3 linked regions of the Xenopus tropicalis genome follow. The protein of the gene in region 2 binds, or shares a complex with, the protein of the main gene of each other region. Links are inferred from orthologs where the notes say so. Each region holds a gene or a part of one and is shown on either strand. Other genes may lie near its edges.

The links.
Region 1: the proteins of myo5a (region 2) and spire2 are in contact, whole or in part, in a crystal structure (PDB 5JCY), measured with the Homo sapiens proteins. The link is inferred for Xenopus tropicalis from reciprocal best matches to the Homo sapiens genes MYO5A and SPIRE2. Residues at the interface, in NP_001369276.1 of Homo sapiens: Asp1551, Val1554, Arg1555, Thr1559, Ile1562, Asn1563, Lys1566, Ser1597, Gly1598, Leu1615, Thr1616, Asn1617, Phe1618, Asp1619, Leu1620, Ala1621, Glu1622, Tyr1623, Val1626, Asp1629, Leu1630, Gln1633; in NP_115827.1 of Homo sapiens: Arg404, Pro405, Arg406, Val407, Leu408, Leu409, Lys410, Ala411, Pro412, Thr413, Leu414, Met417, Glu418, Met420.
Region 3: the proteins of myo5a (region 2) and mlph are in contact, whole or in part, in a crystal structure (PDB 4KP3), measured with the Mus musculus proteins. The link is inferred for Xenopus tropicalis from reciprocal best matches to the Homo sapiens genes MYO5A and MLPH. Residues at the interface, in NP_034994.2 of Mus musculus: Asp1524, Val1527, Arg1528, Leu1531, Thr1532, Ile1535, Asn1536, Lys1539, Ser1570, Gly1571, Leu1588, Thr1589, Asn1590, Phe1591, Asp1592, Leu1593, Ala1594, Glu1595, Tyr1596, Val1599; in NP_443748.2 of Mus musculus: Lys184, Lys186, Arg187, Leu188, Leu189, Ser190, Phe191, Arg192, Asp195, Phe196, Glu197.

The regions. Positions count from the first base shown.
Region 1 is NC_030680.2:59,439,406-59,450,632, forward strand, and holds the start of spire2 (protein spire homolog 2), read right to left. Parts: upstream 7,089-11,227; 5' UTR 7,063-7,088; coding exon 6,810-7,062; intron 1-6,809. UniProt on the Homo sapiens protein: Acts as an actin nucleation factor, remains associated with the slow-growing pointed end of the new filament.
Region 2 is NC_030679.2:101,942,143-101,952,942, reverse strand, and holds part of myo5a (unconventional myosin-Va), read right to left. Parts: intron 10,215-10,800; coding exon 10,131-10,214; intron 9,068-10,130; coding exon 9,065-9,067; intron 8,613-9,064; coding exon 8,610-8,612; intron 7,779-8,609; coding exon 7,614-7,778; intron 7,507-7,613; coding exon 7,409-7,506; intron 6,745-7,408; coding exon 6,658-6,744; intron 6,521-6,657; coding exon 6,412-6,520; intron 5,195-6,411; coding exon 4,983-5,194; intron 3,455-4,982; coding exon 3,298-3,454; intron 1,125-3,297; coding exon 885-1,124; intron 684-884; coding exon 435-683; intron 1-434. UniProt on the Homo sapiens protein: Processive actin-based motor that can move in large steps approximating the 36-nm pseudo-repeat of the actin filament. Can hydrolyze ATP in the presence of actin, which is essential for its function as a motor protein. Involved in melanosome transport.
Region 3 is NC_030685.2:60,401,618-60,412,966, forward strand, and holds the start of mlph (melanophilin), read left to right. Parts: upstream 1-4,357; 5' UTR 4,358-4,422; intron 4,423-11,349. UniProt on the Homo sapiens protein: Rab effector protein involved in melanosome transport. Serves as link between melanosome-bound RAB27A and the motor protein MYO5A.

The sequences.
Region 1 (11,227 bases), on a different chromosome or scaffold from region 2:
AATCGTCAGATATGGAGGTAGAAACAATAGGATTTCTATCTCCTTCTGCCAATTCAGCCCTGAAGGTAGATTTTGCTCAGGCGCCTAAAATGGCGCCCGATCGAAATCTGTTAACCCGCCCGATCGGCAAGTCGACCATTATCCGCAGCCTTTTGCGATATCGGTCACCTTGCCGAATCGCCTTACACACACCGAATATCGTACAAAATGAGGTTTCATGCGATATCATCGGTGCGTGAATGGCCAGCTTTAGTCAGTTACTAGCCCCAACTATGCATGCCTGATGTAGGCAGAGAAGTTCTGCAATTATCTAAATCCCTACACAGGCACAGACTAATAGTGGCCATGCACTTTACAATTATTAACCTTTCCTACAACATCGTTCATACCCTCCATTAACATTCAGAGCTCAAAAATTATAAAAATTTTCCACGCCGCCTGATTGACGAGATAACCAATATCCAAGGCCTTTCCGATATCAATTGCCTCATCTCCCACCATACACACCGAATATCTTACAAAAATGGTAAGACCATTGCATGTATGGCCACCTTAAGCAATAACAAAACACAAGCGGCTTTTTGAAATTTTTTTCTGAACACTAGCTTACTTATGAAAAACCTCAAACCGAATAGTGACATTTTCATTTTGTCACAGAAAAAAATTTGGGCACCAGCAAGATATTGTTCCACTTATTCTCAATAAGGCTGAAAATCTTGCATGCTTTAATAAACTGGGAAAATAAAAGAATAAGTTGTTAGAGAAATGTACCCCTTTCTTTGCCGTACAAGACATGACTGACTAAGTAAATGGTAGGTTCCCATCATGGGAGACCCTGAACAATAAAGCTCCAGGCTTTTCCTTACTGTGGTACGAATACCTTTAGCTAAAACACTTTTTTACCCCTATATTGTTAGCAGAAAGAGGAGATCCCCTCACTTCTTTCACCTAGTGGTCCATGGCCTCCCCCAAAAAGGCCTGATTTTGACTATTTACAAACTATTAGCCAATCCCTTTAGGGGGAGAGCTATATTATGTATAAAATAACATGCAAAAGTGGGATACCTACATTAAGTAATTGATGAAAATGAATGGGAAGCCATATGGAACAACATGAAAAGAGGGATTACTTGTGTAAGGCAACAAAAAAATATTTATAAAATAATCATGTTCTGGTACCACACACCAGTTTAAGCTCCATGCACTGTTTCCAGAAACTACACACAATTGCTGGAGGGGATGCGGACAGCTGGGGGACCATCCCACATTTTTTTGGCTTTGCCCTATAATACAACAATTTTGGGATGAGGTCTTGACACTATTGCACCAGATCACGTTCCTAACCCTAGATAAGGACATCCTCACTTTTCTCTTGGAGAAGGCCTTTTAACAACTCTTTAAACATACACAAAAGCTGGTCAACCAGGTACTCTTGGTTGCCCGCATTTCTATCATAGCTAAATGGAAGACACCCACCATTCCAGCCCTCTCAGATGTGAAAACAGAGGGTTAAAACTTCAAACAATTTGAATATGGTTTGGCCCGGTTACAGAATAAACCGCCGCCCCAATATCTTATAGTATAGTCCCCTTGGGAATTACTTTCACATTAAGTTTAACCACAAACTTATGCACCCCATATAGCCACAGCCAAGTACTCCTATGGTATTTTTCTCCTTTTTCTTCCCAGTAATACCTTTTTTTTTTCTTATGTTCTCTGCTATTTTTTTTCACTAATGATGACGTATGAACAATTGTGTGGACGGTCTTAATATGCCTTGTTAACTTTACAACAAAGCAATAAAAATTGCAACTTACAAAAAAAAGAAAATGAGATGGCTAGATTTATATTATCTATTGTATTGCTTATCTATACAGACAAATTAACATTTTTTTTTAACAGATAGGTGAGGCTAGCAATGAAGCAGCCTTTAATGCCAACTACAGAACAAAAGAAATTATGAAACAAAATGTTATTGCTTTGGACTGTTAGTGTCAATTTGATACTAAACTTCTGCTTTATTTAATCCTGTTTAATATAAGTCTGCTCAATAAAATTTCCTTTTTATACCACAAGACTTTCATATCAAAAACACAAATCACCATGAGAGCCAGGGTGAATGCTTTCAGTATATTAACAAACACTGTATATATACAAAGACATGATGTTTAGGTACTGAGCCTAGCTGTTGTTGCAAATGTGTCAACTTCTGCATTATTCCATGAAACCTTAGTGCTAAACAGGAAAAGCTTTCTCTGCATGAAATTCTAGATGCTCAGAATTTATAGGAACTGAAGAGACTGGGTCTGCCAGACAGAGAATATGCTGCAAGAGCAATTTCCTGCAGCCCCAGGCCTACATACCCCAATCAATAACTTGTAATATCTTTATGATGAGCTGTAAGGGGTCACTCATCTATCCAATGATTAGAACATACTTTTCAAAGACATGTATCCTATTGGGGAATGTGTCATTCCTAGCATTCATTAACAGGAAGATGTGGGCAGGTAGGTTAAGACATCTTATTAAATGAAATTGCATGTTAGCTTACAATGCACTAATTGCCCTGTAACTCACACAAAGACATGTGTCTGAAGACATAAATTAATCAGAAGTATGTAATAAATCTCCATTAGCATAGTCTATATGCACGTGTTTCTGGATGATGTCATGCTAAGGCAGCAAGACAGAGAGCACTGAAAAAGGAGAGCAGCGTAGTAATAAGAAGTTATGAGCACAAAGGGATCCAGCAACACTAAAGGAATCTCCAGAGAGAAGGTCTAGTGTGCATTACAGCACGAGTGGGAAAGTGCTAAAAAGAAATGAGGACAGGCAGCAAGGAACAAATCATGGCCAGATTGGCTTTGAGTGCATTATGTGAAGGTCAGAAAATAATCCCTGCCAATATTAATGTGTAAAAAAAAAAATATATATGAAAAAAGACAAGCAGAAAAGGTGTCAACCCTAAAAAGCACTGTATGTGTGATTTGGTTTAGGATAGTGTCTGGAAAGAAAATTAATTCATAAATAGAAATAAAAATCTAGTGATATAGATCAGGCCTGGCTCACAGTTAGCATTGCAATCCAATCCAAAGGTGATCAGTTGTAATAAAGTTAGAGTTTTTGCAGACCAGTCAAGTTCTGTTCTCCTGAAACAGGAAAGAGCTTTTACCAAACTGTTGCCACAGAGTTGTCAAGAATGTAATTATACAGTGAAGCATTATGCTTAGCTTTCAATGGATTTAAGGGTCCAAACTATGAATATCAGCAACATGTCCCATAAACAACCAACCAACCAATGTATTACACACCAAGTCACCCCAATATAAAGTATCTAAATGGACAAACAGAAAGTTTGAATCAACAGTAATGACTATCATATGGTGCTTCAGTACATCACATTCTACAACAAAAGAAAAAATAATTTGAGTAAAGTGTATTTTAAATAAGATTCATGCCAATGCTTTGATGCTAGAAGCTCAAGTACATCACTCTAATTATGAATTATAATCTGAAGTCAGAATGGCAGATTATGGGACTGCCAGCCACTAATGCAGCTCATATAGGATATGTGTGCCCCACTGAGTGCAAGTCTTCCTGATATTTGCTCATATTTTAGAATTACATCTAATCTGTACATTGCATTTTGCAGTGTTGCCAGTTTCCTTGCACCTTCTCTGGCTACAATAATCATTTTGTTGATAAGAACACAGCAGATTTTCTTTCAAAGGGAAACTAACAATCATAGTCATGTCACTTTTTTGACAACACCATGGCAATTATACTTCACACAGTGGCTTTTTAGCACCCACCTGACCTTGCAGGTGTAACGTGGCTTAGGTAGTGGTTTGCTGCACACATGCATAGGAGAATGTCTACGACAGCAACATAACTTCCTAACCAGGCCACACAGTTTTCTAAACAATACGCACTTTTGAATAAATTATCCCTTGGATATTGGGTGCTGAGGGCGATTTTTTCTTTCTAATATTGTCAGTATGCCTGTCTATTTAGTTAAATAACTCCTGTAGTACCTGACAATTTAAATTGCTTACTGATTTTGTTACCTTACCTTATTTGTCCTTCACAATGCCAAGGTTTGCCTCAGGGCATGGAAAGTTTTAGTTTCACAGATTGGCAAAATGATGAACTTAAATACACACATGTATGCATTATTCACGATAAAAGGTTGAACTTTGATACAATGATCAGACTATCGAAGAACTCTACGGTTACATGCCAGCATGCCAGCATGCTGGCAGTTTGAAAAGTAGAGGAAAATTTCTGCAACCAATCAATATATTGCTACACTTGGTGCTAAAGATTTTCACCTCCAGCCCTGCACCAACATATGCTAGGCTTTAGCCATCACAACTGGCATACACAGAAAGTCAGCCACCAAGTCATCATTAAAAGGAAAACTAAACCCTAAAAATGTATATGGCTAGAAATGCCATTTTTTTTTTTTAGAATGAAATTACTGCGCCAACCTATAGGTTCAGCAGCCCATTAACAATAATGATCCACACCTCAGATTTGTTTGTTTACTGAAACTGTGATTTGGTATCTAAGAATATATATTTTTTTTTTCACTCACAGTGTGAGACTGAAACGTCGAGTAATAAACTTTTCTATTTTTGCATTTCCATTCTGCTCGCAATTCTTTAAATCCTAGGAGCGCTGCCCTTGTTCCAGTAATAAAATATTATATGTATATCTATGTGTGTATATAAACACAATGCAGAAGAATGACACGGAACAGAATATTCTGAATCAATTTTACAAAGGTTTATTTTGCTCAAAGTTTCGGTCCCCCATCTTTGTCGGGAGTCAGTGAAACCAGATCCACAGTAGTGTGACAGGACTGCTCTCCATTCATTTATTGATTTATTATTATATAATGAGATTATATATATATATATATATATATATATATATATATATATATATATATATATATATATATATATATATTATATGATTAGATGAGTCAGCTGGAAATATTAAACACTATTAGCGAGACAGTAAATGAAAATTTTTGTTTATAATATGTGAAAAATACTATTTATATCTAATATCAAAATATTGATTACAGTGAAAGCAAACAATAGAGTAGCGGAAAATGAAAAATAAGGTTTCTGTTTTCAAAACACTGTTTTAAGATAATGGGCTAATTATGCTGGCTTGCATTAACAAAGCAAGTCTGGTGATTAAAGTCAATGCTGTTACTTCTATGTCTGGTTATGACGATGCCAACAAAAACAACTTTACAGCCTGTGAAAGAACTAATCCTCTTTTCTTGTCTGTTGCCAACTACCCAGCTAAGATCATATGTGTTTTTGAAGTTAACCATAAAATTTTTTTAACTGACATTATGTAATGCTATTTCTGCCCCAGTTCATCCGGCCTTATAACTTAAATGTAAAGGTTTTCTCAGTATGCTTCTAAAAGGCAGCTCTAAAAACAGAACTGGTTCCACTATACATACAATGGATCAGGGGAGTGAAAAGCAGAATGGAATCCCTTTAATCTATGCAGGATCACATTTGGCTCAAAATGTGAATTTGAATGTATCTATGTCAAAGACATCTAAGCTGTAGCTATCATAAATAACAAATCCCAGGAAGAACTGGGCTTTACAAATGCTGGGGTACCCATGAGATACAGAGGGCTAGTGGGGCACTGAACAACAAGCAATTCCAATATTTGAGGTGCCCTCAAATTATTTTGCACTAGGGGCTTGAGAAATTTTAGTTACTCCACTGCAAGGTAGGATTGCTTTATTATGTTCTTGGGAGTGATATCATAAACATCCCACATACAGATTTACTATGCTATCAAAATACCGTGACATGCACTGAGGCCAGGGTGCTGTGTGCGCTCTGCAATGCAATGGGGGCAGCTGGGGCTCACTCCTGGCATGATGCTACTGACAGGCCTGCTGGCTCACTCCTGGCATGATGCTACTGACAGGCCTGTGCTGCATAATGTAAACAATAGTCAAAAGCATGACAATTCAGCTATTTGGCTTGAAGATTCAGGTAAGTCTTACAAAATATTAAGGTGCTTACAACATGTTCCAGAGCCAGTGCCAATATGTTATAAAGCTGAAGGTGAGTCCTCACAGCATTACATACACATTCCACCTGTGTGCAGCTTGCCCAGCCTTTTCCCACAGGCAGGTGCTGGCTCTCAGCCTAGGGAGCACCCAGCATGTTGGGTTTAGGTGGTTTTCTATATAAAGAATTGGACAGACAGGTGCCAAAAGCCTTGGTAGGGGGTACTATAGGAAGGAGTTGGTACAGAAATGAGAAATTTCTTCCCAGGTCGCATTTTATCTCCCATGGTTGTTTTCCTTAGCTGCTACATTTTTAACATGCCTTTCCCAAGCCAGGAGTGCCCAAGGCGTGCCACACACACAGAAAGGCTTGCAAGCAAGGTTATTATAAGGGTGAATGGGATATCCATGGGGCAGTGGAACACTGAGTCAGGCATGAAAGATGCGCTTATGGCAAAGTGTCACACATCTGCATGTTTGTGGTGCGCACACAAGTTACTCATCCCGGTACTTTGCGTGCCTGTAACGTTTCTCTCTACTACTCAGTCCGTGTAACTCTATCTTCCCCCGAGTTTGCGCCAATGCTCAGCCCCAAACCCTCCACACACCGTGCCATTTCTTACTACTGGCCTTACAAGCGTTATGTATAGGATTCGTTATAAGCAAATAACGTAATAGTTCTCCCTTTGTGCCACTAAAGTGCAAGCTCTTCGCCACAGGAAGACAGAACACCATACAGAATGCCACTCACCCGCCGTGCCCTGGGTCTCCGGTAGAACGGTGATTGCCCCATCCCTGTGCAGTAGAAGACAAGAGGGATCCCGAATTCTGCCCCTCGGTGGCCAAGGCTGCCCAAGCAGCCCCCGGGAACATTGGTAACACACGGCCCACGCCTGCTCCTCATTGATCGGCTGTTCGTAGGATTTCAGCACTTCCTCCAAGGACAGCTCCCCGCTTCCCCCCGGGACCCCCCCGGTACTGCTACTACTGCTGGCCTGTGCCATACGGGCAGCAGCTCCATCACCGGGCGGCTCGGCACCGCAGGCTGCTCTTCATCGCACGGCCGGGCAGGCAGAGTCCGGTGCAGGGGCTGGGCAACCGCCTCCCTCTAACCCTCCTACCGGGACCGTGTCATCATTGTTTGGGGAGGAGAGGGAGGTGGGGAGAGAGGGAAGTTTGAAAATGAGGACAAGTGGGCTCTATAAAGCGAAAGAGGATTGAGGACAAGTGGGCTCTATAAAGCGAAAGAGGATTGAGGACTGACCAAAAGCCAAGAAAGGGGTAAGTGATGCGATAGCAGGTGGGAAGGTAGGTTTCCCCACAGCGACCTGAGGCGGTTGGGCACAGGCCTGGCAGCTGCTGTACGAGTGATAAAACATAACTGAGTGGGAGTCATACAAACTGCCTGTAAGGGAGAAGCGAAGGATTGAGTAACGTGAGGTAAATGTGCAGCCCAACCCTGTGCAAAGCTCAGCCCCTATCAGATAAGTGCCAGCGCACTCACGCACCCTCAGTCTCTGAGCAATCCCTTTCTTACTGCGCAAACTGAGCGCTAATTGGGTGGGACGGCGCTATACGGATTATAGAGAAAAAAGGGGAACTTCTCCGGCTTCAGTCCAGTACAGTACTACAACCAGTGTTTGGTAAATGGTAGTTCAACCTGCTATTTAGTTGGTGCTAGCTAGAAGTGCTTTGTGGAATTCCAAAGATCACAGACTCTCTCGAGATCTTTTCTGACGCCATGGCAACGGGGACATAGTGATCCAGTCCTGGCATTGGGAAGACTATCCCTTACCATTTTTTTGTAAAGTTGGTTGTAGTCTTAAAATGCTAGAACTGGATCGGTTATGTTACTGGTCAACATGACAATTTTTTAGGGCTCTCTCGCAAATGCAAAAATAAGACATTATTTGCAAAGATTTATTGAAAAAAGGGCTTAGTGACCCACTAGGCTCCGTATACTGTACTTTCTTGGCCCAAGAGCATGTTCAGGGTCTCCTATCTCTTTAGTTAGGCATAGACTGCCTCACCTGCTCCTTCATAATGTCTACTTGGTCGACATTTTTGGGACTACTGGGCTTGAAGGTGAACTTTGTCCACTGACAGCCCATAGGTTCAGCATTTCAGCTGTAATTTTCACCATGGTTGGACTGGGCTGGCAGAACACTGGGTCCCATCAACCCAGACTTGATCCCCACTGGCACCCCCCCCCCCTGATCTCGCCTAGGTAAGTATCAGATATGTGCACTTTGGGGGAAGGGCAGGGTGTGTGTGGGCAGCAGGGGCCCCTGGGATGCCAGCTCTTGTTGGCCCACACAACCCAGTCTGACTCTGGTTACCACCCACTATCTGATACATATATACAATTCCATTTGTCTCCCTAATCAATAACTAATTATGGGTCATACCAACAACAGCCTCAGCCTAATTTGGCCCACCACTTGGATTTCCAAATTGGGCAAATAATTCCAATTGAGCAGATCTTCCGGTGTATGCCAGAGTGTTGGCTCCACTGCTCTCAGCTTGTGCTTTTTAGGCAGGAGGAGAGAAGTGGATCTACTCTCTTCCTCAGCTCCATGTCTCTTTACTGACAAGTACAGCATTTGCTTGAGCTGCAGAAGAGACTGGATAAGCTTCTCTCTGCCTGCCTAAAGGCAATGACACACAGAGCTACTATATGTTGCAGCTATGAAATAGACAATACTGGCAATTGTCTCTATGTGTTTTAGCAGAGACCAGTGTCGGACTGGCCCACCAGGATACCCGGAAAACTCCCGGTGGGCCGAGGTGTCAGTGGGCCCTCCAGCTCCTGATCATTTGGTCTACTTCATGGCCATTTCCTATTTTTGAATGGGAACAAAGGTGAGAAATAGATGGAAAAATAGATGCTAGCATGTAAATAAAAAAGACTAGGAGAATAAAGAGGTTGATTGAGCAAAGGGGGGGAAAATAGTTTGAAGAGTGGGCCTATGGTTTAAGGTTTTTTGGTGGGTCCCTGGCAGAGACAGTTCTCAATATTGTCTTTGTAACGCTGGATTTGCCTTTCAGACCACCCCCATTCTCCACCCCCCCAGGATCGCGCATCCGTACACCGTGCACATGGAGCAATGGGGATGGGATGTACTGAAGTTTTTGCTGCGTCCCGTCCCCAGTTCTCCGTATGTGAGTAAATTCAAGTCCGGTTGGGCGGCATGCCACCCCAAAATTTATGCCGCCCTAGGCCCGGGCCTGTGTCTATGGTAGGGTATTCCGGTGTTTTGTAGCTGTGACAAGTAGCTGGCTACAAGTAGCACCACATTTCATAGCCCTAAAAAACATAGGCAGAGAGCAGCAGAGCACACTCTGTGTGACAAAGTGCAATATCTACAGCACAGCAACCTGTTAGATAACACTAGTTACTGCAGATCAGTTTAGTAAGCTTCTATTTATAGCTCATACACATACTTTGCACTGTGGGCGTGTAATTATTACCATTACCTTAATTATTTGTTTTACCTAATCAGGCTGATAGAATCTACCTTCTGTGTCACCTGTAAAAAAATCTTTTTTTAGGCGTTAGGTCAATAAAATAAGCATGTGTTATAATTTATACAGCCATCAATGTTTGCCAAAATTAAAATAAAATCTCGTCATGCTCCCTTTAGTCTTTGGTTACGTATAATTTTTTTTTCTCAATATGGTTTTTATTAATTTGGGTAACAGTGAAAAGAAGGGGGGGTAAGTACACACATCTGCATCTTACATGCGTTACGTATACTTTGCCTAAAATCTGGAAGGAAGAACTTGTTACAAATGTTCATTACTTTAATTAACTTTTTCTGCTCTGCTTTCTTTCTGCAAACCATTAAAAAGCTGGACAACTGATACACAACATGCTGACAGTGCATTTTGACTCTAACTGTAGTGAAAAGGGTAATGCCAGATAATAGCAGTGTCTCATTTAGGAAAATTAGCCTTTAAGAAATCTGTCTCTCTCTCAGCTGTGCATTTGGCTCAATATAGTACATAGGGATTATTGGTTATTGCCCAACATAGACTGCTCTGTGTTTGAGTGATCATCACTTGTACAGGGCAACCTTCTACTATTTAGTTTGCTCTCAAATGGAAATCAATTGCATTGAGAACCAGGTATTGATTGGCGCTGCCTGCAGTAGTGATCAAAACACCTGGTATAATGGGGTATATTGCACCATTGCGGGTTGCTATTATATTAAACACTGTACCTCCATCTTGTCTTTAGTCCTAAGGATCACTAGCAGCTGCCCTGGGTGGTGTGCATATACAGTAGAGATAATTTTGTGCTAAGTTTTGACTTTATGTTTGCTAAAGAGATTATAATCACTGGGGCAGGAAAACGACCCTGTGGTTGCAGGGAGGCACAGACTGCAGGGTCTGCTTTCTCTGTAGTTGTGTAGAAATCCTCCTCCCCAGCTGTTCTACCTGTGAGTGGGCAGGGGGACCTGGTGCCATGTAGTTACAACACTGACTGGGGGGAGCCTGTCCATTTGGCACCCTCCAGTTATTAACCCTTCACTCATCCTTTAATAAAATAACATGTCATAAAATGTATATTATAGTCACAATACCTTGGAAAGGCAGCATTTTTGTTCACTTTGGTACAACTTGATGTAAGTTTTTTGGATCTCACGTTAATAATATCAAAATGGAAGTTAAATTCAAAACACCTTTTGACATAAAAATTATTTGCATAAGATAGGGTTAAAATCTGAAACCAGCATAAAATACATTTGATTTAGATTTAGGATAACAGCACTTTTTGTGAATTGGTCTTACCAGTATGGTTGCCACTTCATTAAGCCTGGACACATGAACTTCACATGCTGAATGGCTAAATAGCAACTACTTTATATGCCCATAGCAGAGGTGCAAAGAGACCAGTGCAATCTGAGGTATGCAGCTAAATAAATTAAACACTTAATTCAGGATGTGAGTTAATTGGTTCCTGCTGAAAACAACCCTAGTGTGGTAGAAATTTTAGGCTGTAAGCTCCACTGGGACAGGAACTGATGTAAATGATATATATGTATCTCTAGAAAGCACTGTGCCTTATGTCAGAGCTGTAATAAAAAATAATATTAATTTTAAAAAGTGCCTGATTTTAAAGGGATGAGCTGGGTTTTGGTAAGTGATTTGTATAAGATGCATTGA
Region 2 (10,800 bases):
GCAAATGTCAGGTGGTTTCAGCTAATAATGGAATTCAGAAACTAAAAAAAAAAAGGTGGCCTTTAGATTCTGTTGCCACTGCTTAATAGGTATTGTTGGAGTTACCAAACTTTGAAAGGATTGCTAGGGAACAAATAACTGATACTCCCACAGGTAGTGCGTGTTCTGGCCCAATTTAATAAGGTCTCCATCATGAGAAAACAAGCATTATCACAATTCGAAAGTATTTTTAATGCCTTCCTTTGAAAATGTATTGCAAAGAGAGACAAATCATTTGACATACATCACCAATCTTTGGGTAATGGGCTGAAGTAACTGTAATACTGTATGCTATAATTGTTAAACATATAAGCTGACTGCAGTAGCACAATCCTTAAAGGAGTCATTTAATTTTTATTTCATGCAGTGGCACTAAGTATCTTATCAGTTCCTACCTTTTCAGTCTCGGTCTGGTACTTCTCTGCCCGTTCCTCAATCTTGTTCTTTTCCGTCTGTGTTTGCTGCAGCTCTTTCCTAAGCCTGGCAAGCTCGTCCTGCAAGCTGACCATCCTGTTTGCTGCATTTTTGGCCTCCTCTTCAAAATGGCGCAGTCTGTCGACGTCGCTTCTCAGCTTATCTTTTTCAGTATTGTACGTGACCTCCAGGTGTGTTAGCCTCTCCAGCAAGGATTTGTTGTCTTTATTCTGTAAATATACAGAGGAGTCAGAGACCACAAAGACTTCCTTTGTAAAATGGTATTTTTAGTTTTACGTAAATATATTTTAGCCTGAAATTGTAGATCAGCCATATTTCAAACTCATTTAAAAATAGTTGTCAAATTATAGGTTAGTTGAGCATGTATGTGTTCTGCTGATGTTCACAAGAACATATAAATGATATAGTACCTGCTCATCAACTTTACGCTGCAACTGCATGATCTTGTTTTCCATCCCATTGTTGAGTTTCTTGTAGTGTTCCACTGAGCGTGCCTCTATCTTTAACTTCTTCAGCTCCCTTTTGGCCATCATCCTGCGGTAACAACACTGCAGGTACACAATAGCACTCAAATTTCTCTTATAAGTGACACGGGCTAACCAGCCGCGCACATGCTTCTGGATGATGGTAGCTTTGTGTGCTCTAAGCATCTGCAAAGAGAAACAATACATTAATAGAGTTAAAGGATTTATTTACTAATGACAATTAGAATTCAGTATACTGAACAAAAATGTGATTTGCCTTTTTAACACTTATTTGAAACTACATATATCTGTGTTCTGTACTAAAAGCATAATGTTTCTAAACTATGGCCAACTGCATCTAAAGCTGGCCATGCATGTTCAGATTTTAGTTGTTGTATGACAAACATTTGGATATTGATTGTACATTTTAATGCAACAACATCAAACTAACCAGTCAGCTTTTAACTTTAGGATTAAAGTTGGAAAAATAACAAATTAGACAATGTTCTGGCCATGTATTAACAGACAAAAATTGTAGCAGCTGCTATAGTACTGGTAACAGCACCAGAAAAAGGACAACATTAAAAATATAACAATATGTATTATTGCTATCCAACAGAAATGTTCTAACCTGTCTGATCAACTAAACGACCAATCACCATGGTACAATTATTCAAAACCCCCACACAGGGCCCAAAAATCTTGTGAAACTTACTTGTTTTGTACTATTATATCATCGCATTTATGGCCAGCTTTAGAGACATATAGGGTTATGCAATGAAAGGCACTAAGTTTGCCCAAGAGCAGTAACACATAGTAACCAATGAGATTTAGAGATGACCTGTAAATGCTACCTACTGATTGTTTGCTATGGGTTTATGCTCCTGGGTAAACTTAGTGCCTTTTATTACATAAACCCAATAGTTGCCAGTACAATATTACCGATATACAATATATTAGGTTACAAATTTTACTTGGAGTATTTGGAAAGGACAACATTGCAAATCTCGATTTGAGAGAAAAATCTTGAATTAATATGTGATTGATAATATAGAGATAATGTGTTTCATTTGTAATTGATAGTCACCACTATGAAAGGCATTGGTGTTCTTGATACAAAGCACTGTAAGGATGTAGGAAGGAGCACTTTCAGAATGTCTTCAAAGGATTTAAAAAAAAAATGGGAAATAAAAGTTATAGAAAAGTACTTAATGGGTGAGGTCACTGTTCTTTACAGTAGGCACATTGAGCAAAAAAGGCTAGTTGTGCTGATTATGCTAGCAAGTGCAGTTGCAGCAGGGCGACCATACCAGTGCTACTACTATTTATAGTAGGTTTTCAGTTGTGATTTGAAATAAAAATGTCAACTTACTTTAACCTAAGTGGATTTAGTTGCACATTTGGGAAATGTACAATGGAGTCTTAGCTGCACTGTACATCCTAATCATGAGGACAAACCATTTATAGAAGTGCACAGCCTCTATGACTTCATTAAAAATTGTACCTTCCCCTATCATTGTGGCAGCAGGTAAGAGAGGGTAATAAAAGACTAGGATAGGGAATAATGTTTTTATATTTTTAAATAAACACAGCACTGATTATATAGATAATTGTCTTTAAAGGGGAACTATTGTGAAAATTAAAAATAGAACATTTTAAATATAATCTGTGCCATTTCTGAAATAATCAAGTTACTCTTCACTATCCCCCTCTCATCAACCTGTCTTTCTTCATTCTCCCTTCATGCAGAAGTTGGGGTCAGATTTTGATTGGTCTAATACATCGTATATGGGCTTCCTTTCCTAGCTAACCCAAATCACTAACTCCAGCACATATAAAATAACCGACTTCGGTACAAATCCTGCATGTAGAGAAACAGAATTTCTGCAAAAGCCAGTTATTTTGAAAGAGTGAGCTCTAATACTTCTAGGCAAAGGGCGCAATCCCCCCCAAAGGATGTATTAGAGCTAACTGTCGATCCAAACCTGACTCCAACTACTGCATGAAGAGAAAATGAAGAGATAGATTCCCATTAAGGCCAGAAAGAGTGTCAGGGTCATGGGGCAGATTTATTATAAAAATCGGAATAGCTTTTTTATGCATTTTATTTCTTAAAGTGGCTTCCGCCCAAACTTACCTACACAAGGTCTAAAGCAGTGTAAAATAACGGTATCAAACCTGGGGTTTGGACAGTGTAAAATAAAACCCACCTCGATACATTTGCCTTTTATTTTACTCAGCCTTTTTACCGTTTTTTCTGTGAATTTTATTTACACAGCCTCATTAATATGCCTATATATGACTGAGTTTAGGTGGGTTTTACGGGAGTCATTTTTACTATATTTGAATAATCTCTTACCCCCTGAAATCTCTTCCTGGCTGCATAACCACGCATATACGACTGGAGAGCAAGGGTAATGGACTGCATATGACGGTACTTTTGCCGAACGACATACATCCTTTGGAATTTCTGGATAATAATCGCGGCCTGTGTTCTACGCAGAAACTGTGCATAACTGAATACATAAAGTAAGAAAGAAATAAGCAGAATTGTAATAAATAAAAACATGCCAATAACTGAAAAAAAGACTCATACTAATAGCTGCTGTTGCCAAAGTCAACAATTACCTGCTCATTCAGTTTGAAATGTGTTGGTTTTCCTTGGCTGCTTGTTTGTGTTGTAAATAACAGACCCAGTCCTATATTTTCTAATTCAGCTGATGTAAGGTATAAGTTAATAGTGTATATAACGGTTTTCTCCTATGGGACTCAAAAAACTTTATAGCAAGCAAGGCCCCCACTATTAGGTACTTTAAGTATGCCAGTACAGTACTTTTTGAAGGTCACAAGGAGCTGCCACAGGAAATTGAACTAGAGTCTCTAGTACGAGATCCGACATCAAAGGTTGATTACTTAAATGGATACTTTCATGATTTTTACAGTTTACTTCTAAATTACACTGTTTCCATGGAAAATAATTCACTCTATCATTTCAAATGTTCTGTTTTAGCTGTGATATTGGTGTGTAGGCAGCCATGTCAGTGCATTGTGCCCGAGTCTGAGCTTTCAGAAGGAGCCAGCGCTACACATTAGAACTGCTTTCAGGTAACCTATTGTTTCTCCTTCTCCCATGTAACTGAAGGAATCCAAAGCCGGACTTTCTTACTACTGAGTGCTATTCTGATATCTACTGGGAGTTGCTATCTTGCTCCCTTCCCATTGTTCTGCCGATCGGCTGCTGGGTTGGGGGAGATATTACTCCAAGTTGCAGCTCAGCAGTAAAGTGTGACTGAAGTTTATCAGAGCACAGGTCACATGGCTGTGAAGAATATGGGTAGCCATGTAAAATTTTAAAATGAAATATAAAAAATCTGCTTGTGCTTTCTGCTGGAGAAGCTCTATTAACTGATTTGCTTTTTTCAAAGCACGTTTTCCATGATAGTATTACTTTAACCTCTAGGTCAGTTATAGTCCCACTACAAACTTAATTCTACATCATGTACCCTTTACTGTTGGGCTCTAGGCAGGTACCTAAGCAGTAGAATTGATTTCCTATTCTGAGATGAAGGGGCAGATGTATGAAAATGTGAATGAATAGAACATGGGTGAGTTTTTATGTATTAAGTTCTAAACTCACATTTTGGTAAATCTGCCCCTAATTGTGCAAAGGCAGTTGCAAAAGCAAAAAGGTGAAAAAGTACCTGAAGTAGCATTGGTTGGTTCAAAATACATTGTACAAAGTAGGGATGGAAGGGATGTATATGCAAAGGCAGTTAAATGTTGGGAGAGCTATACAGCCTTTAGTGAGATTCACTCAGGATTGCTGGGTGTGCTAGGCCATGTGCATAACAATCTACCCTCTGCTTGGGCTCTGCTAAACGTCAGGTTTTAATTGCAGAAAAAGTAAACACTCTACACCCCCCTAAGTTCTACTTCAAAACCACAAAACTATATTTCCTCCATGTTCATTAAAGCCAACACCAATATTGCACAATATGTAAAACAGAATTTATGAACCAATGCAGCTTCTGGGGCCTCACTTACCATCGTGCCTGGTATCCTCTGACGTAGCGCTGGATTGTTATGGCTGCTTTCCTCATGCGCAAGTATTTCTTCCTCAAAAGCCATCCTCGGATTGTCTTCTGGATCCTGATACAGGCCATTCTCAGCTTGTCTGCTCGGATCTTCTCCAGATAGGCCACTTGGCCAGCACGGAAAAAAATCTTTGTCTTACCAAACTGGTACTTATCCTTATCCTGTTACCAATAGAAACCCAACACATGAATTGGTTGTGAGAAAGAGAAACTAAAATGGGATAATACCTGTTCTAAAGTCAATTTAAAAAATTCAGAAGAACAAGGGAAAATTACAAGCAGTTCAATCCAAACTCTGTGGGGGCCACAGATAAATTCATACAGTAACTAGATGAATCAGTAGATTAGTCCACAGAATATTTTTTAAATTTAATGTTTGTATGCGAAAGGAAATCATCCATTTTTTGCATGTAAGCATTTTATGCCTGCTGGGTTTTATTATTACGGAGAAAAGGGAAATCGTTTTTAAAAATCATTTTTTTTTAATTAAAATGGAGTATATGGGAGAGAGAGCTTTCTGGATCACGGATCCCATACCTGTACTGGAAAATCACCAAGTAGGTCATATTGAACATCTGTATTTTAATTACAGAGGAAGCAGAACCTGCAGCTGCAGGGGAGCCCAGGAGTATAGGGAACCATGGGAAGCCCTAATTAATAAGCAATTTCAGTATATCTTGGTACAACAGGTCAAATTGCCAATATGTTGGGGCCCTAAATTAAATTTGCCATCGGGCCCAATAACATCTAGCTATGCCACTGATCAGAAGTGTATTACTTTTAATAACACACAGGTTTCAGTAAATGATTTACCACATGCTATTCATGGCTGCTTTAGTTTAGCTCTGTATGTTTAGTTTCTGTAACAGAATAATTCACCTCTTGCACCTCTGATAATGATTCCAGTGTGCAGTCAAGCTGTAAAAATGTCTTGCTGCCCAATGCTATCAGCAAAATATTGCAGATTATCATTGTGGCATCATTGAGAGGCTGACAGAGAGACTAAACCTTGAAATAGATTTTGTAAGCAATAGTTTAGACAACAGCTGTTGCTTGAATTAATGCTCTACATCAACCAAATACAGGTCATAAAGGATGCAAATAATGCTCTATGATTGATTTTAGATTGATATAAATCTGATTCAATAGTACTGCATTTCGTTCTTTTAATATGTGTGTTGTGTCCAATTTGCCACACATCTACTAATCCACTCCATAGAGAGTTTACTGCTAATGACCTAGATTCACACAGTCAAACTTTGTTGCATATGGTATGGCATATTGCACATGGAAAAACTGTGCTGAAGACTCAGGCCTAAAATGATTATAACTACAAGCTCTATTAAAAAATATATATTTTTATAAGAAGTTTGACGTACCAAAATAAGCTTCTCCAGAACATTTTTGCAGGTTTGCTTCCTATCACTGAGGACATCTTTTTGCTTCATTAAAACACGATATCTGCTAAAAAATTCCTGATATGTCCACCTATGACATGAAAAATAAGGAACTTATTAGTGGCTTGAACAGTTAAGCTCTGTGTAGCACATATCTATCCATTAAATGAACTAGAAGTATTACATTATGGCACATTACAATGTGGAAATGGAAAATGGGGGGCATACCTAGAAGGAAATCCAGCAGCACTGATTCGGATGGTTTCCAGGACGCCACAAGCCCTAAGCTGCTGCACTGCTCGTTTAGAGTCAAATCTACAACAGGGATTTAAAAATTACATTAAAAAACAAATTAGTAAATAAGCATGTCTTTTCTTATATATTCTAGTACAGAATGTAGTGTACACTGAAGTAAGATCTGCACAAGTAGGCAGAAAAACTAGGTCACTCCTCTAAATGTCACCTGTCCAGATGCTTTTTCTTAGCCACATTAGGTCAACATTTTCCTACTCAGAATAATTGCTAAGAGTCATTTTTATAACATAAGACTTAGTTTAGAATTAAAGAGGCAGTGCACCCCCATGTTTAACATGAGTTCAATGACTCATGTCATTTGCTGAGCAAATTTTTCCCTTTTTTTACTTATCACCAGAAATCATTGTTTTTTATTTCTTGAGCTAAACAGGCACAATAAAGCTACTCCAGTTGTGTTTCTTAGATTACCAGTATACAAGCCCCTCCCTCCAACCTTTGTTGTGACCGTTTTGTACACAGGGGATCTCTAATGTGGAGTAGCTGTAATATCCCCACTGTTTAGTTAAAAAATGACCCATTCTAGTAAGATACTATTCTCTACCAATGTAACACAATAAATGAAATTTCCGGTTCTAAATGTTATTATAGAGAACCATATATAAACAGTGCAGCAACTCATTGTTACATACATCCAATGGATTATAAGCACACACAGTTTACATACGTGAACGGGTACTTGAAGTCATTTGGCTTAATGCAACGGACATAATGTGGAGTTGTGGCATTGAGAGTCTCCATCAGAAGGTGAAGGGAATTTCTGAACTGCAACAGAAACGAAAGACAGTGTCAGTAATCAGAGCAGACACTGGATCTATTTAGACATCAAACTGCGGGCAAGAGTTGTACTAGATATCGTTTTGTCATATTACCTGATGTCCTACAGTTTTTTTATGCTCCTTGCTTGTCTGTTCAGGCTTGGGCTTGAGGGAACGCAGACCAGTGCGGGATAGCAGAGTACGGCCTGAGGGTGGTGCAGAAGATGTAGGGCTCAAGATCTGCTCCTCTTCTTGGAACAGTTCTGTTAGCAGTGTAAACTAGGGAGGAATTATACTTCATTAAGAATAAATATGTAGGAATATAAATACTGTTGTATATTGTCTTATCCTTTTATTGTTTGTTTTTATCATTTATTTTTCCCCTTAAATATTGTGGGCAATATAGTTCCAGGACATTACTAAGAACATTTATTCTCTGCATATCAGTGGAATGTTGTCAAGAGATCCATTCCTGCCTACAAGAGGCGCTGCTGTTATCCGTTTAATGCGGTCTTTCTCCTGTCTGCTACTTTAAAGTTGTATCTGGTTGGCAGGCTTATTATTCTGTATGTAGAAATCACAAGAGATTGCACTTGCGCATAAACAAACCCATGCAAATGATACATGGTGAGGTATGGTCAGTTAGGTGGGCAATTTTATATACAGTAGTAATTCTCCTGCACAATGCATTTAGTAACAACAATGGGGCTCCCTATTTCACACTACTATACACAAGCAACAATGTAACAGGTGAGCCCAACTGGCACACAAACTAGTAAAGCGGAAAGAAACAGATTTTCAGACGTGCAAGGTAAAAATAAAATGAAGCACTTCTAGTTCCTAGGACCGGCCACAGAGAGCCAAGTACCTAGTTTGTCGATGTATTACAAACATAGAAAATACACTTAGCAGGATTTAAATAGGTAACATTGCTGCTTTACTGAAACCCCTAGGACACTGAAGAACTTGATCTATTCCGGTGGCATGTACCATGCTGTTGATAGTTCAAACCCTCCCTACATCGCCACGCCATGCAATTAGAAGCAAAGTATTATGGGCCTGCTACAGGAAAGCAGCCATTTATTAGGGAAGCTTGTCAAGAGTTTTTACCTTCTGATGAGCATGTTTGAATGGAATATGGAGGAGAAAAAAAAAGAATAAGACATACCAGCTACAATATTTAAAAAACACTATTAAAGTTATATTAGAACTGGGCCACAATAACAATATCTATAGACATTAGAATAACAATATTTTATGCCCATAACACAAATATACAACAGTTACTGGCAAACTGTGATACCCCAAAGCTCTTGCATCCTTCATCCAACCTAGATACATTCTGTCACATCCAGCTAACAATTCTACTATATTTTAAGTTCAGGCTTTATTGCCTGTACTGCTCTATAGATAATCCCAGGGACACTGCAGAATTTAATCGTGTCATGATGTTGATGGTTCCAACCCTCCCAATTGCCCCATGCCATGCAATTAGAAGCAAAGTACTGTGGGCCTGCTACAGGAAAGCAGCCATTTATTAGGGAAGCTTGCTTAAAAGATTTTACCTTCTGATGACCATGTGTTGAAGGGGATATGGGGAACAGAAAAAAAAGTGAATAAGACTTACCAGCTACAATACTTAAAAAGTACTATTATTTTTGGTAAAATATGAGAATTATAAGAATTACACTGTGCCAGAATTAGCATAAGTCCATAACATAAATCTAGATCAGTTGTTAGTAAACTGTGACACTCCAGAACTCTTGCATCCTTCATCCAACGTATATATGTATATATATTCTGCTGCATACAGATAACTATTATGCTACATTTTAAGACTGGGGTGAAGAAGAAGAGAGAGTTGTTGACCCCAGGATGATAGGTACTTGCATTTAGGGCTGGCCTTAGGCCAACTGAATATGTTAGGTCAAATCAGGACCTGTGCCCATGGGGGCACACGCACACTGGCATATCTGACAACACCAGCTGCCTCCCTCCAGAGTGTCCATAATATAAATCACACATAAGAATAAATTATTATGTCTGTGTGGGGCTTGGAGCTGTCTCTGTGTCTTGAAATACTTCTGAGCCATAGAATGCTATGAAATACAGTGTTATGACCTACTTGAGAGCCAGTGAAATAAAGGGGAGATAAAATACAAGGATCCATAATAAGAAGGCATACAGTTAACAGTCATATTATGAGTGGCGTTTTCTTCCCAAAAAGTAATACAGGTATAGGACCCGTTATCCAGAATGCTCGGGACCAAGGGTATTCCGGATAAGGGGTCTTTTCGTAATTTGGAACTCCATACCTTAAGTCTACTAAAAAATCAATAAAACATTAATTAAACCCAATAAGATTGTTTTGCATCCAATAAGGATTATTTATATCTTAGTTGGAATCAATTACAAGGTACTGTTTTTAAAATTCTGATTACTTGATTAAAATGGAGTCTATGGAAGACAGGCTTTCCGAAATTCGGAGCTTTCTGGATAAGGGGTTTCCGGATAAGGGATCCCATACCTGTACTGTACCCTTACCAATAAAGATAAAAAATCCAAAATATGCACAAACTGAATGTCAGCCCTGGCCCCCAAATACAGAATAAAATATTTTTCAATACCAACCTTACTTGCTTTCAGCACTTTAATTTGTTCTTCAAACACTGTATCTTTGTTCTTTTCCAGAAAACCTTCACACTGGTACTCTACCTGAAAAGAAAAGCAAGTTTAATGCAATGATTGCCACATTGGGGCTGGAGAATTCAATACACTGGCTGACGTGTACGGTATTCTGATATACTAATGCAGTGGTTTAGCTCATTGTTACTTAGCTAATATCAGTAGGTTTCTTCCATTTCAAGGGTACACAGTTGAAGGGTGTGACACTGTTAAAGGTGTTGTTCACCGTTAACTTTTAATATGATGCAGAGAATAATATTCTGAAACAATTTGTGATTGCTCATGTTTTTATTATTTGTAGTGATTCAATTGTTTTCACAATTCAACATTTTTGTTTAGTAGCTCTTTAATTTGATGTTTCAGCAGCTATCTGGTTGCTAGGGTCCAAATTACCTTTGCAACAGAGAGACTGGTGTATAAATACGGGAGGACCTGAATAGAAAAATAGTTAATAAAAAGTACCAATAACAGTAAAACTGTAGCCTCACAGAGCAATCGGTTTTTGGCTTCCGGGGTCAGTGACCCCCATTTGACAGCTGCAAAACGTTAGAAGGTGGCAAATAATGAAAAACTATTAAAAAAAATAAATAATGAAGACCAATTGAAAAGTTGCTTA
Region 3 (11,349 bases), on a different chromosome or scaffold from region 2:
CCCAGTTTGAGGAGGAAGGGTCCCATGACGGCTTATATCAGCTGGTGCCTGGTCAGATGGGGAACTATTGCAGTTAGAATAGAAAATATTGCAAGGAGAGAAAGAATCCGCATACTCTTCTTTACATTATTGAAGTATTAAAAACCCAGATTTATATGCTTGTACACTGGAGCCAGTAACTAAAAAGATTACAGGCAGCACTCCATAGTATCATTAAAAATGCTTTTATTATCACAATATGGACAACAGCAACATTTCAAGCCTAATTGTCTGTGTTGTGATAATAAAGGTATTTTTAACAATACCATGGAGTGCTGCCTGTAACCATTGGAATTCATGTGTCCAGGAGAGAAAGGACCCTGATGGATGTGCCTCCATTGTTGAATCTTGCAATAAAGTGAGTGCTACCTATTGGGTTTGGGCCATTAACTAAAAAGCTCAGTTTGAAAGGAACAGTTCAGTGTAAAAATAAAATAGGATAAAAAGACAAGCTGTGGGAAATAAAAAATGTTTTTAATATAGTTATTTAGCAAAAAATGTAATATATAAAGTCTGGAGGGGAGGGAACTAAATAGCCAGAACACAACTTAATCTCTAACCTGTTAGTCAGTCGGCCAATAGAATGGGGACCACATGGTACATTGCTGCTCAGTTAGTTTGTTTTTGGTCCTGACCTGTGTGCTTAGCAAACTAACTAAACAATTATGTTCCATGTGGCCCCTCTTTAAGTTGGAGAGCATATCCAATGGGTGTGTATGGTTCTATTCACAGATTCTATTCCCACAGTGCAACTGGGTAGGTTTCCACTCACACCAAACCAGGATTCGGCCAAACATTTTTAAGCAGAAATCACACAATCCAAGTGCCTGAACCTCTAAATATCACATGACTTTTCACCACGCATTTAAGAAAATTGCTAAATTGCTCATTTCTTCCCATACACTGTGCATGCACGGATCTTTTTCCTGTTACAGGGCACACCTTTGCATATGCAAATTAAGGTTCAGGATTTGGCCAAATCCTGCATGAACAATTTATTATTTACCCTAACCCCTAAAATAAGGATTTAGTGCATCCGTAATTAAAAGGAAGTTCATCATTAATTCACAACCAGTTCTTGAGTGGTTAATCTGACTTACTCTGGGCCACATTAAAATAAAAGCTTAATAAACACTGGACTAATCAAAATCTATACTGGAATACCAGGTATGACTGTGTTAACATTTATAGAACAAAACTGATATATTGGAATATTTTTGCTTTACAAAAGGGTTAGGCAGGGAAGATGTGGACTACAAATAAAGAAAGAAGTGGAGATTTAAGCTTGTGGGACAGGTTTCTATTCCGCCACAGGCCAAGTCAGTTATAATAATGTAAACAAGGTAAACCAAGGATAGCTAGAAGGAAGGGTTATATGTTGCAGAACATGACCTATGAAGGCCATTAATCAGTTACGGGGTAGCACATTTTATTATTATAATCCTTTATTTAAATGGCGCCAACACATTATACAGAAGTTAATTTAAGGTTAAGTCAAGTCCTTGTCCTGATGCCTCATAAAATATATTAATAAAGGTGTCCATCCAGGTCATGAAAAAAACAAAGCAACAAAATGGGTGTTGACTTTCCGCATCCATTGCACTTAATCGATCTTCAGTCATTGCCATTTTGTGCATGATAAGAGAAAATCAGGAAATATTCCGCCACATTCCTCACACAGGTGACCACTTACTTGGGGTTCATCCGGCTGCATCTTCTTCCTAACTAAATTTTGTATCAGTCAGTTTAGTATATTTTGCCTTCCTTTTGGTTTTGGCATAGTGATATCACCGCCTTGTGTTTGCTGCATGTTACAAGAGGAACCTTGTTTTGATCATTTTGAATAATGGTTACATGGTTTCCAGATTTACAGTACTTGAATCTATCGCATTGAACTTCAGAGATATTCTGGTATTCTGAGTGATTATACCAGATGTGTTGGTGGAAGTCTGGGGGTCATCTAATATATTTCTGCTCTGGCAGAAATATATTCAAAACAGTATGCAAGTAACTATGATTAACACAGAAGGCATTGGATATGGTGTGTGGCATATGGTGTGTGGTATTGGATATGGTGTGGGGCATTCAAAATTATTTAAATTATTAGTGCAAGGCTTGAAAACCATGTACCCTCCTCTGGAATCTCAGCACCTACACTCTCTAATATGGCCCTGTTGCCTGTAGAGTATTAATAAATGGCAAATTAACATAATGGGTTGGTGGGTGCAATGTCCATGGTCACTTCAACGAACAACTTTAAATATAAATACATATTTGTGTGTATGTGTGTGATTTGCTTTTTCTCAGTTTTATATTTTTTTGTGTAACAATAATTTCACATTTGTAAATCTGCCCTGAAGTGTTACATATCCAGCAGACAAGCTGCACATTCCTTTTTCTACCACTAGATGGCGAGAAGTCTTCATATCTTCCATTGCTTAGAGCAGTGATCTCCAACCAGTGGCTCATGAGCAACATGCTGCTTACCGACCTCTTGGATGTTGCTCCTAATGGCCTCAAAGCAGGTGCTTATTTTTGAATTTCTGGCTAGGAGTCAAGCTTTGATTGCATAAAAACCCAGTGTAATTGCCAAACAAAGCCTTATGTAGGCTGCCAGTCAACACAGGGGCTATCACATAGCCAATTATAGCTCTTATTGGCTCCTCCAAGAACATTTTTCATGCTTATTGGCTCCTCCAAAACATTTTCCCATTTGTATGTGGCTCACTGGTATAAAAGGTTGGGTATCCCTGGTTTAAAGTGATCCCCAACCAGTGGTTCGGGAGCAACATGTTGCTCACCAACCCCTTGGATGTTGCTCCCAGAGTCCTCAAAGCAGGTTTTATTTTTTAATTCCTGGGTGGCACGTTTTGGTTGAATAAAATCAAAATGTACTACTGTACTAACAAAGCCTTCTGTAAGCTGTGATTCTGTATAGAGGCTACCAAACAGCCAATCACAGCCCTTATTTGGCACCTCCCTGAAACTTTCTATGATGGTTGTATTGCTCCCCAAGTCGTTTTACATTTGACTCTGGCTCACGAGTAAGAAAGGTTGGGGACCCCTGTTGTAGTATGTTTGTGGTTAATCAAATGAACATATACCTTCCACAGCAGTGTTGCTTTATCCAAATGTTAATTGACTACAACAAGCAAGCAAGAGAATCACCAGTTCCACTAAACACAAGAGCTCACAACATTTAATAACAGTGTCATATTGGCAGATGTGGATTATTACTAAATGGGGCCCCAGGCAGGATAGTGCTTTTGAGGCCCCCACCTAAAACTATAGTGTAAAAAGTAGCCTACTACCCGCTCACACTCCACCCACTCCACCTCACTTTACCTCCTTCCACCTTAGACTCACCCTGTATATCCAAAACTGGAGGCAACACAGCCTGATACGATGAGAAGGGAAGTGATGTGATTGGATTTGTGATCAGCTGCATCAGATCCACACCATTCATATTTTACAGTTTTGGGGACTAGGTCAGGTCACCTAACATGTAATCTGGCCCTGCACATTGGCAAGCAAAACCAAAGGTAATTTTCAGTATGTTATGTACAGAACTGGGTGAAGTACCCCAGTAATGATGAATTTCAATAAGGGACATGATAATACAGCAGTAGAATCTATTTTACTGTTTTAGATACTCTTGTGGGGTCATTTACATTTACCCGGTGCCTAATGCAGGTCCTACTCTATTCAAGGCACTTGCCGCAGGTCTCTGTGCTCAAAGTGGAACATTTTCTGTGAGACCCAGTAATTCTTTTTACACCACTGCCTATTTTAGCACAGATACTCAATACCTGGTCTGACACAGCCAACACAGCTTGTACAAATGATAATATAGATTATAATATCTGTACGATTGAAAGCTTCTACACCCACATTTTCAGCAGGAGATGGGCACATCACACACACATTACACAGATTTGGGTGATGAAGCTTCATGCAAGGGAAGTGAGTGACAGTCTCTGCCTGCCTGTGGGTTAATGACTGGAAGGGTTAGTGAGTTCTCCCTGCACTTAGGGTAGAGATGTATCAAGCCTCTGAGCACTGTAAGGACATATAAAGAATTGGAGTGGCTTGCACAAATAGTGTGATATTTCAAAGGACCTGGAGCAGGGGCCCTATCCCTTCCTGATTCATGAATATGTTGTGTTTCCCCAACTACAGATCTAGATGTGTGCCCTTGCTGTGCCCAGCCCTGTGCTCATGTGATGTCTGAGACTGATTATCAGAGGGTACTGCAGCTACCCCCAGGCTTTGGGAGGAGGAACATGTGACACAGGGCAGGGCAGTAACCCTCCCTTCACATAAGTACACTCTCTCACTAGACAGCAGGCCAGCCCAGGCATTCTTGCAGCAGCCAGCGAACAGGTAACTCATTCCTTGGGACAGGGCAGGCTTCACCCATTGCTGTGTATTCTGTGTGCTACAGTATAGTACTAATATTAATGCAAAGCTTCTTACTGGTGTTGGATGGTGTTGGTGACAGGCAGGCTCATCAAGGCTCATCAAGGTTGGTGTTTACTATGCAGAATGGTGTATATTTATTGTTATTATCTATTATTTATTGGTAGTTGGCACAAAGCAAAGTACAGAATGAACAGGAATATAATACAGTGATCAATTGTCGCATTACAAGGAAAACAAACTTTAAGTGCATTATAAGGAGGAGGTCTCTGCACCAAAGATCTTACAGTCTAGCAAATAGTAGTTTTGTGTGCAGACCCAGAGGCTGCCAATGTGTTCTAAAGATGATTGTTTTGATAATCAGAGTGAATAAACTCACCTTAAATACCAGGTGGGGATCTGCTGTTTATCATTAAAATGATTTAATAATGTGTGAATCTACCCTTTCTGCTCATTGCTGCTTAAACCTTGAATTGTTTGGTTTCTGGTATATGTGGGAGTGTTTATATTAGGGCAGTGTATGGAGCTGTTTCTACTGATTGCATTGCCCTCATGCTACAGCTACCTTGTGTGCTGCTCCACAAAAGCAAGTCGGTGATATATACATGCTCTATAAGGGCTGTAATATACAAAAGTGTCTTTTGACAAATTATACAAAGCAGAAATCTAGCTGACATGGGCTAAATCCCCTCTCATCCACAACGGCCTCCGTGGATCGAAAATATATCCCATGATCCCACAATACACCTGCCCAAGCAGCACTTACATTGGATGTAAAGGCTAAAATAACATTTGGGCCAATGACATAAATACTAAGCAACTTTCCAATATACATTAATCACACATTTTTAGTGGTTTAAAACTTATTTGTGTCTTTAAACAGTAAAGCAGAAGCCAGGTGACTGTGAGACTACTTTTACTTTGTTTCAAGAGACTGAAACAGCAGTGGTGAAAGGAACAAAATAAAAATACTGTATTTACATTTCCAAAATAACTTTAAAAACTATGTCACTTTGTACTTACTATATATTGGAAATTTGCTAAAAATTCTATTTTCAATAAGGCACGATTTACATTTTGGGCATAAATCCCCTTAAATGAAAGAGCTTGCACAGAATTTAGCACAGTGCAGTACTCTGGCATAACAATTATTATTAATCATGGTTTCTCTTTTTATGTATCAGTGAAGGCATTTTGGTCAGTGCCCTGTAGAACTATAATATAAGATATTGTGATATTTTCTGTGCCTGCCTTTGGTTAAGATGCTGATGTGTACCTTCCTCACTACAATCCAGCTTTATGGCAGAGTATATGAAACTTACCTTGTTCGGACAGCAGTCGGCAATGTGATATTATTGTGCCCATAAAGGGTTAAAACATTGCTTTTTGTCAGTTACTTTGCCCCTTGTTTATCTGGCACCTTGTAACAAAGCTCACTTTAGAAAAAACATGTTTATACTTTATATATAAATACAAAGAATTTAGATTTCACTTGATGTTTAGACTATATCGTATTGGTACTGCTGTGATGCACAAGTGCTAGCAAGGCCCCCATCTCTAGGGCACATTGGTCCAAGCAGCAGTTTTAATTGTGTATTGGGTACAATCAGGATAGATATCCCTCTGTATTCAAAAACAATAAATATATTAAGATATATCTGCAAATAGGCACCAAAGCTGTTGCCTGGGACCCTGAAGTTCCATTTGAATCCAGTTTGTTTAACCATTATTACATCACATTACAAGATGCCACTGGGCGCTTTAAATAAAAATGTGTTAATCTTCCGACTTGATCTTCACAACCGTCACAGCCATTTAGTCATGAGATTCTCAGAAAAACAACCAGAATCAGCCACCATGTACAGATCACTCCGTACCACTTGATTTAGACCTGAAGGCTCTGCTTCTAATCAATTGTTCATCTATCCCAATTTATGCCTCCCACAAAACATTCACAGAAGTTCCAGATCCTGCTGTTTCGGCTACATTGTTACGGGCACAGTTTAACTAAAGGGAACAGAAACTCTTTTTAAGTATCACTTATTCATTGTCTGTTGAAGAAATAGTAAAATAATTGGGTTTATCTTACTGTGTTCCACTGAACTGACAAGAAAAATATCCCAAGGATACAGGGCTGCTCCAGCCATAAAGCAAGGTGAGCATTTTACCTCTGGCGGCAGGGAGGGGCCAGTAACCAAGGGCAGGAAAAAGCTGCCTCTGGTAACTTTAAAGGGGTTGTTCACCTTTGAGTTAACTTTTAGTTCGATGTAGAGAGTAATATTTTGAGACAATTTGCAATTGGTCTTTTATTTTTCATGATTTGTAGTTTTTTTAATCATTTCTGTTCAGAAGCTCTCCACTTTGGAATTTCAGCATCTATCTGGTACCTAGGTTCCAAATTACCTTAGCAACCAGGGAGTGGTCTGAATGAGAGACTGGTATTCAAATAACATAGGATGTGAATAGAAAAAAAACTTGTAGAAAGTAACAATAATAATTAAACTGGAGCCTCACAGAGCAATATATTTCTGGCTGCTGGGGTCAGTGACCCCCATTTGAAAGCTACAAAGAGCTAGAAGGAGAAGGCAAATCATTAAAAGAACTAAATAAATTAATAATAATGATCAGTTGAAAAGATGCTTAGAATTGGCCATTTTATAACATACTAAAAATGAACTTTTAGTATGTAACAACAAAATATGTGGAGGATAAACACTATTGCCCTTTTATGTCAATTCTATAGATTCCACTTGAAAATGGCCCTCACAGCTGGAACTTTGTACTCTTCTTACTGGGTGTAACAGGAAATAATCAATAGCCCAAAGGAATGTAAATATTCAAGAGGTGGGCACGTTGCCATTTTCTTAAAATATCCAGTTTTGCTGCAATCTAACCCCAAGCTATGGCTTATAGTTACAGTTAGCTTCACAGCCAAGTTCCCATGAGTTTGCTGTTTGTTTATACATTTTAAGGCTTTTCTATCCTTTATGTGACTTAACCAGAAGTACCAACATCTGACAAAAATGCCTCTATGTCTGTGCCTCACTCTGAAATAGTTACCCACACAAATAATATGATCAGACATTAAAACACATGAATATTATAATTATTAGCATGCACAACTGGTCCTTTCCTATGATTCCTGTATCATTGCTATGTTATTCTTGTCAGCGCCCATGGCACAACCCTGCAGCCTAGTGTATTCTGTTGTTTTATGGGCAGGTAGAGCAAAAGTCAGTTCTAACTGGCAGCTCAATAGTTCTTTAAAAAGTATATACAGATCACTAGAAAAAAGAGCTGTTAATAACAAAAAGTCATTTTAAAATGTAAGAGGGCATGTACACAAGTGGAACCTTCGCTTAACACATTTCATGGCCTCTTGCCACTCCCTCAGAAGTATCAAGTGTTGGTTCCACTTGTGTACTTGCACTCTTACATTTTAAAACGACTGAATAAAAATGACTTTTTTATTAACAGCTCTTTTTTCTAGTGATCTGTATATACATTTTTACAGGACTAGTTTGATGCCTTCTGGGAACCGGCTATGACCAGTAAGTGCTCCCATGAATTAACGAATACTAACTGGCAGCTCAACCATATACCAATAAGCATGTGTTTTGTTGTGCATGGATTTCCTAAACTAATCTATTTGGCACAGTTTTATAAGCTTATTTTAAATATCATATTCTTTCCTTGAGATCATCATATGTTTTCTTTATGTACATATTACAGACACCACTCAATATGATTATCCACATTAGCTACTGATCTAATGCAATAACTTTTTATGGCTCCCAAATCTTAGTGCATTTGTTTCTCATTTATGGACTGTGCATCATTCTGGGCTGTGAATTGACACTTAAGCTGTGTTGTATTCTGTCATATTAGAGATGGGGATATACAGGGTTTTGGTTGCTCTGTCTCTGATATCACTTTATATACCCGTTGTACAATGTATATATAAATATATAATTTAGAGATCCAAGAAATATTAAGCATTGATATGGCCAAGACCATACTTAGCCATATCAAATCTTGCAGGCCCTGGTTCCCCGCTTAGTCCCATTAGTCCAGCAATGTTAGAGCTGGGCCAAATCTTAGCAACACCGAAGGCAACCCCTCTCATTAATCCCCCCCCCTCCAGGTTACAGTGAAGTGGTAAGTGGGAGGGGGCTTTGTGGCAATGAGCAGGATTGGCAATGCGATGTGCCACCATCACTATTAAGCATTGCATCACTGCTCCCCCTGCCAGCTGACTGCAGAAAGTTAAAGAAAGCCTATCCAGGGATAGAGGCAGAAGAGATATTTGCCTAGTGCTACCCTTCTGTTGCACCCTAGGTATGTGCCACCTATGCCCACTCCTAGTTCCCTGAGCAATTTAGACAAAAGGGTTTGTTGTTTGAAATAATTAGGGCAAAGGAACAAGTTTAAATGTGAGAGGAGGGGGCACCCAAGTTGTGTCATCACATCCAACTTGTGGTAGGGGCAGTAATGCACTCTGCACCTCATGCCAGATAAAAAAGTCCCAAATGAGGTACAGAGCCCAGCATTGGCAGGGTGTTGTTACCTTATGTTATAGGACAGGTGGTAAGTACAGGGCCCTGTTGCATACTGCTTCTGCCCTAACTTGGGCATCTGAATGGAATGCTTTGCACTCCTGCCCCTCACCAGTACACATTGCTTTATTCATAGATGTGGTCACAAGCCTCCATTTTGGAACAATTTATTTAGCCAGGAAGGCAAGTTGCCCTTTTTTTTTAACTTTGCACCCTACGTGGTAAATTACCCTACGTTTACACCCTCTGCTGTAACTGTTTTTTAAGCAGAAATGCAATATGCAGGGGGATTATCTGTGCACTGGTAATGTAATGACCTACCTCTCGGACCAAACAGGAGAAGCTTCAGTTTCCCTCATTGCCCTGTTTAGCTCAAGAAATAACAAAAAACATAGATTGTCAATTATTTAAACAATAGGCAAAGCATGTATAGCACAAGCCCTATTTGTTGCACTTATATTGAACTAGGGAATATACTGTTCCTTTAAGAAGAGAGAGGAGTAACAATTGGTAAGAGATTACAGGAAAAGGCTGCCAGCCGCAATAGGATGTGTATAATGCACTGGGAGTTGCCAAAAGCTCAGTAATTAGCTACCAGTTATAATCAAGCAAAGCAAACAGTGAACAGGTGCCTAAGTAAACACTGTATTGAATCCTGTATGTACCTGCAGGCGGGATGGAAAGAATGATTCTGAGAGGTGAGAACCAGTGCATGGGCAAGGGCAACTCTAAACTGCGCATTACACTGATATATGTGTATGTAACCCCAGCTGTATAAAATATAAGGATATTTGAACTTAACAAAGAGTTCCACAACTCCAGCACAATAACTTCAAATTTGCTCATATTTTGCAATGGGGGTACATTATTATTTTTAATACAAAGGTTTCAAATGAAAATAGTCACTAGGATCTGAATAGCCATGGACTCCCACCTGTTCTGTTAGTTGGCAGATGCTGGGCATTTGTTATCCCTATTTTATCAGTACAGCCAATCAATGCTAAAAGTGAGAAGGCCTAGGGAAGGGTACCCGGAATATATGGTAGTAAAATGTACATTTAGGGCTGTGACACATGAGGAGATTAGTCGCTCGCAATTAATCTCCTCTAGCAGTTTCCTCGCTGCTTCTTGATGCGACTTCGGGCGACTTCGGGAAATTGTAGGGACGTGTATGCCATCCCACTGGTGATTTACATTTTTGCCAGTAGGATGGCGTTGCAGGGAAATTATTCGCCTGTGGTAACGAAGATTTGTTATGGGGCAACTAATCTCCCCGTGTGCCACTGCCCTAAATGCCAGAAAATACCCTGCATAGACAATACTAAGAATTGCCACTGCACACGTAGAGACATGTATCAGTAAATGATCAGCACTGTCTATTTTTGTAGCCGTGACAAGTAGCTCTGTGTGTCTTCGCCCTAAATGTTGCCACTGCTTGTGTCTGCAGCAAGCAAAGCGAACTGTGTCTTATCAGCCAACATACTTACAGGAATCTTTGTGGGCAGGCCAGTAAGATAAGCAAGCACAGACAGTAAGCTGCTTACACAAAAAACAGATATGGCAAGTAGGCTGTAAGATCTTCTGGGCGGGGCCTATTCTCTTCTTTTATTGTTATTGGTTGTTTTTGTATGTTCAATGTATATACCCATTTACAGGTTTGGACTGGGGTGTGTGAGGCCCATTTGGACACAGGGGCCCCCACACCCCCTCAGGGGCCACCAACCTCCCACTCACCCACCACCAGCCCCTTCCCCACTCCACAAGTGTACCTTATACTTTGCCATGATCAAGGAGGAAGGGCTGTGATGGCAACCGGTGGGATCAGGTCTGGGTTAGCGGGGTCCATTGTGTTTTTTCTGCCGGCCCATTCCGACCCTGCCTATTTATTGTATAGTGCTAATAATTATAATTATAATAATTAGAATTGAACACCATAACTTTTTTCTTTACATTTTTAAAGTAAGGTCCATTCTGTTAGGGTTACCAAATTACATGAAATCCAGGGACATGTCTAATAAATGTGTGTTGCAGGAATGCACTGTGAAATTAAATTGCAATCAGTGCAGCTCTTCTAGCTGTTTTTTTAAGTGATCTGGTAATGATATTCTGTGTCTAATTGGTTAGCTCTTATATATGTGCTTCTGTCAAAAGCTATATACTGTGCTCCCTGAAGCGAGGCATGTTGTTCAAGAATGTGCTGATTTGGATCATATGGTTTAGTAAAGACAAAAGAGCAGGAGCTCTCATCCTCCAGTTCATAGAAGTTCTGTTAGTTCCAGGCTGCATTGCAGTTGTCTAGCTGTGCGCTTGTGACCATAAAGAACAGTGATATAAG